2 linked regions of the Saccharomyces cerevisiae S288C genome follow. Changing the gene in region 2 together with the main gene of any one other region gives a genetic interaction. Each region holds a gene or a part of one and is shown on either strand. Other genes may lie near its edges.

Evidence for each region. A genetic interaction does not mean that the proteins touch.
Region 1: mutations in DFP4 (region 2) and YKL183C-A together harm fitness more than expected from each alone (negative genetic interaction), as found in Saccharomyces cerevisiae (one large-scale study listed by BioGRID).

Annotation. Positions count from the first base shown.
Region 1 is NC_001143.9:97,895-100,248, reverse strand, and holds YKL183C-A (uncharacterized protein), read left to right. Parts: upstream 1-1,641; coding exon 1,642-1,854; downstream 1,855-2,354. Other genes in the region: LOT5 (Lot5p), read right to left, coding at 608-1,528; ornithine decarboxylase SPE1, read right to left, coding at 2,092-2,354.
Region 2 is NC_001140.6:11,921-14,847, forward strand, and holds DFP4 (DUP240 family protein), read left to right. Parts: upstream 1-1,644; coding exon 1,645-2,352; downstream 2,353-2,927. Other genes in the region: seripauperin PAU13, read right to left, coding at 3-365; PXP3 (Pxp3p), read left to right, coding at 582-929.

The DNA.
Region 1 (2,354 bases), on a different chromosome or scaffold from region 2:
CTGCAGAATAGAAGGAAAAAGGAAAAGTGTTTGGAGAAGATGGTTCAATCGATAAAAAGTATGCCAAAAATGCCAAAATGCCGACTGTAATCTCTGATTATTGTCGCAGTGAATCGTTCAACACTTTTCGGTGATTGGGAAAGGCACACTTACTGTCAGACCAAAAGCGTTAAATAGCAACAACGTATTGTTCGCGATTATTTGTATTTTTCAACAATTTCTTTTAACTTGTGCGACGGAAAGATCGCTGTTGCGTAATTATGCTTGGCTGGGCGGCATGTGAAGTTTTTGGCCGTCGTTTGTTGGAGGCCAGGGGAGTAGTGAACCGTGCCTGCACCTCGTGTATCGTGATGCGGAGCAGACGCTGCTATAACCCGGCCTCCGAGGAGCCGTGGGTGCACGGGCATGGAAGGCTGATGCGGACCTTCTACGGGTTTTTTCACATGCTGCCGTTTGCTGAAACATCTTAACTAAGCCTTCGCGCGGCCATACGGGCCCTCAAGACATTCATTACTTGGTATAGAAAGGTATATACGAAGGCAAATAGCCATATTCGTAGAGGACGAGACCGCATAGTACAGCGGGATGTTCCCATAATAGATGTTGTTCATTCATTGTCTCTGGAGTTCTTTCTGCCAGCAAGATTTTGATTTGCGTAGAACTCCATAGACATACTTGCTTCTGGACCACCCCTAGAGACCACGTTGTCCATAACGAGGTCGCCATCCAGATCGTCTGCCAGCCCGTCGTTCTGATACACGGGCGGCCCGTGAAGGGTGTCTCCAAGCCCAGAATACGTGGCGTTGAGATCTTGCGCACCCTCAAACGCCATGCTTGGATCTTGGTATTGTTCCTGGTCTTGATCTTGTACGTCCTCACCGTGCAGGTCCATGCATACGGCTAGTGCTTCGTTACAATTGTTTACCAGGTCATCGCCCCTGTTCACGCCGAAGTTTTCGAAGGTGAAAAGGGTTTCGATTTCGTTGTTATAATGGCGATCGTATATTGAATATTTGGGCCTGATAGTCAATTCCACGCTGCGCACGGTGAAGGCATGTGCTTCTTCGCCGTCGAATTCGCAGGCCTGTGGCGCGAGGCTTTGGTAGAGCATGTCCAACACTTCGTCTCTTTCCAAAGTCAGCAAAATTTCTAATTGAAGCCCTTCCCTACCATCTGGTAGCCGTCTTGATGCATGGTACAAAACGCTGCTGTAGGGAATTTCCAGCCCATATCCCAAGCCATTGAACCAAATGATAATGCAGCTGTTGAGTATAAACAGGTCTGTGCCATACTCACTGGTGTCTTGTGGGTTGGCTTGATTGGACAAATGAGAGCTCGAACAAGGTGTCAGGGAGCCTAGTATCAGGTCCCGACCTCCGCCAAAGAGTATTATGTATTCTTCATTATTCAGTGCAGAAAAGTTGCCGTTGAATCGCGGCTGCGTCTTCTTGAATTGGTTATATGGTATGACGTTTTCGACCGATGGTTTGGTCCTTGCAATTTGGCACTTTGGTTTTTTTTTCATCATTTTTCTTTTTATTTTATGGTTGATGCTTCTTTTGAAATAAATATTCGTCTATCACTGTAGCTATGGTCTATCTTGGCCTGTGTTGAAGTATGGTGAACAATCCGAAGTAATGGATGTATTCAAAGATCTTGCTATACCGTAGTAACGTTCTGTTCATGAACTTTTTCTCTGTTTTTGTATGTACAATTGGTACTTTATTTTTGGTTTTCGCAGATGTCTATGTTCTTGCGTCGGCATTTTTCCAAAGTAAAAAGGAAAAAGAGACAAAGTTTAAGCATTTACACTACCAAAAAAGATCTTGTTTCTTTCTAGCAAATATACACTAAACATAAAAAAAAATTATAAAAAATTGTAAAAAAAATATAAAAAAATACTTTTGTGTACAATGGCGTACAGTGGTGGACAGGAAAAATGCCAGAATTTTCTTGAATCATCATTCTCTGACTCTTAAATAGCGTGTATAACTCGTTCATGAACACTCAAATTCTTAGTGACAATGGTTGCATTCAGCCTTTTCCCACCCCCTCCGTCTCTCTTGCGAAAGTCGTGGTTAAATATATCCTTCAATCGAGTTCAGAGTCTATGTATACTATATCCGCAGTCTGCTCAAAGCCGTTGAATTGAGTAGCCGCCGATGATGTGTAGGCACCCAGGGCAGGAAAATAAAACCAATCACCGACTATAACATCATGCTTCATGTAATACTCTTTGGCAATACAATCCAAACCATCACATGTGGGTCCCCAGATGGAAACTTTATATGGATACTCAGATCTTGTTTTGTTGATAGAGTCGAGGACCGCAGTAGTGGATTCAAAATCGTCGT
Region 2 (2,927 bases):
CTCTAGTTTGTGATAGTGTAGATACCGTCCTTGGATAGAGCACTGGAGATGGCTGGCTTTAATCTGCTGGAGTACCATGGAACACCGGTGATCATTCTGGTCACTTGGTCTGGGGCAATACCAGTCAACATGGTGGTGAAGTCACCGTAGTTGAAAACGGCTTCAGCAACTTCAACCGGGTAGGTTTCAGTTGGGTGGGCGGCTTGGAACATGTAGTATTGGGCCAAGTGAGCTCTGATATCAGAGACGTAGACACCCAATTCAACCAAGTTGACTCTTTCGTCAGATTGAGCTAGAGTGGTGGTTGCGGAAGCAGTAGCAGCGATGGCAGCGACACCAGCGGCGATTGAAGTTAGTTTGACCATTGTATTTGTTATGTTTGTTATGTTTGTTAGTGCTGATATAAGCTTAACAGGAAGGGAAGGAATAAAGACATATTCTCAAAGGCATATAGTTGAAGCAGCTCTATTTATACCCATGCCTTCATCAGTCATCACTACTTAAACGATTCGTTAACAGACGCTCATTTAGTACCTCGCATATTCTCCATATCTCATCTTTCACAGAATTTGATTATCACTATGAAGATGTTATTGTTTTTAAACGAGGCATGCATCTTTATAGATTCCGTATGCGAAGGTATTGTTTTCTGGGGCCTTTGTCTATTCGTATGCGCAGAATGTGGGAATGCCTATTATAGGGGTGCCAGAGTGCCTTATAAAACCCTTTTCCGTGCCTTTGAAGTTTCCGTTTTCGGTCAAAAAGAATATCCGAATTTTAGATTTGGACCCTCGTACAGATTCTTATGTTTAAGCCCATATTCAATTTGCTGTAAACAGCCTCCAATGGAAGAGGTAATACTATATTATCCCTCTCCTGATAGTTTAATTAAAAATAGAAAACGTGTATTGGGAGTCGCTTATTTGTAGAGTTTGTAGTTTTTAAGCGTTCTCAGGAAATTCATTGACGCAATTACGTAATTGTAGGCCGCTGAGAAGCAGCTAGTATTGGAAGAGCCGCGTATGGTAAAAAAAAAATGTTGAGTTCAGTTTGTAGCAGTACTACAACTCTGTGCGGTGGGAAAAATTTATTCTTCGAGGCACAGTATTTTTCTTCTAGCTAGATATAAAGAAAAGTGAAAAAGGCAATATATGGCGCTAATGTATTTTATTCAATTAAAAACTTTCTGTAGGAAATGGTATTAATAGTTGGTATTCCTTGTAGACAAAACCATCGCTATATTCATGGTGACGGCTCATCTCTAAAGCTTCTTAAATGTACAGTCAGCTAAGTGTTCTCATAAGAAAGGGTTTGAAGAAGTCTCCGATAGCGTGCTTTAGTATGTTGACGAAAGAAATCAAGATCTAGCTTATATGTCATAATGAAGTAAGTTATATTGGAGTTTTTCTGGTAAATTCTACAAAAGTTATGCAACATACTTATTTCTGTCCTCTTCTTACTCGTCTTGCGGCCAAAACTCGAAGAAAAACATACGGGCCAAGAAAAATGATGCAATCCTCCCAGTTCTAGATATTCCCGCTTTTAAGTCCCGAATTATAACAATATAAAAAGGATATAGAAAATGTAATTGTTAACTTGTGGTATAAAGACAAATTCAAAAGCAAGTGAGGGCCCGCTAAGGCTATGAGTTCAGAATTATTAATATCTAATTCTAAACCAAGACCAGAAGGATTAAGAAAATTATGCGAAGGTGAGACAGTGATCCTTCCAAGGGACATAACCCCCAGCAAATGCGCTTATTTCTTAAAACAGAATATCGTATTCATTTCATATATTTTCATCCATATTATTATTACCATAATCTTAAACCGCCTGGCATTATCTGCACACGGTAATACTTTGATTATTATCTTAGCGGCTTTACTAATTACAATTTCACTATTCCTTTTACTCCTCTTACCTTACTTAAGCTGCTCAAGATATAAGTTAAGATGTTTAGATGATGATTGTAAGTTCAAACTATTAGCGGAAGTCATTACACATAAACCTAACATGGACTTGAGCACATGGGACCGGATTGCATATGACATGAACCAATTTGTATATGACCGTCGTATATGTGCAGATAGATCTTTTTTCTACGATGGCAGTTATTGCTATCAGGTTTTTAAAAAGTTGGTGGCTACCCCGTACCTTGTGAATTCCAATATGAATAGTATATATGCTGATCTGGAGATGAGAAGTAATGGAGCAACCAACATTAACGATTCTGGTAATAGTTCATTACACATCGAATTGGGCACTTATATTTTTAAAGCATTGGCCGTTTTCAGGAACTCTGTTGACAAGTACTGGGAGGATAAGTATCCAGAGATGGGGGTCACAGTTTGATTGGAAGGTATTTCTAGGTTCTACTTTAGTTTTTTATAACGCATCCAGTACAAAGAAATGATATTGGTATTTGGAAAAGTCATTGAATATTCTTGAATAGATTATAAGTGAGCTTCCTTTCTGTATCAGGATATGTGGCTTAACTTTAAACTCGTATAATAAAAGTACTCGTATTTTTGTGGGATGTTTGCCTCCGTAAATTTATAAATGGCAACAGGAACACTATTATAATGTAATGTTACAATATTACTTTTACTGTATAAGTTTAATGCTTTATAAAACTAGATGGCAGCTTCTAAGTTGTGGCTTGTGTCGGAGGTTCAAGCTGTCCTCCAAGTTCAGCGCAGCGATTATTTGCAAATTATCTACGTAAGGACTATATAAACGTTTCGATGCCCTCTCTTCACATCTTTTGTGTCGAACCTCGAACATCGAGCATGCATTGTCCATTTTTGAGCCAGTTTCTGCTTATTCTCGTATTTCAACAATAATGTTGTTGCATAATGTACGCACACTTTGTGCGGCATTTTATAGCTTACAGATACAGATGAATTTACGAGCTGTATAAAAGAACT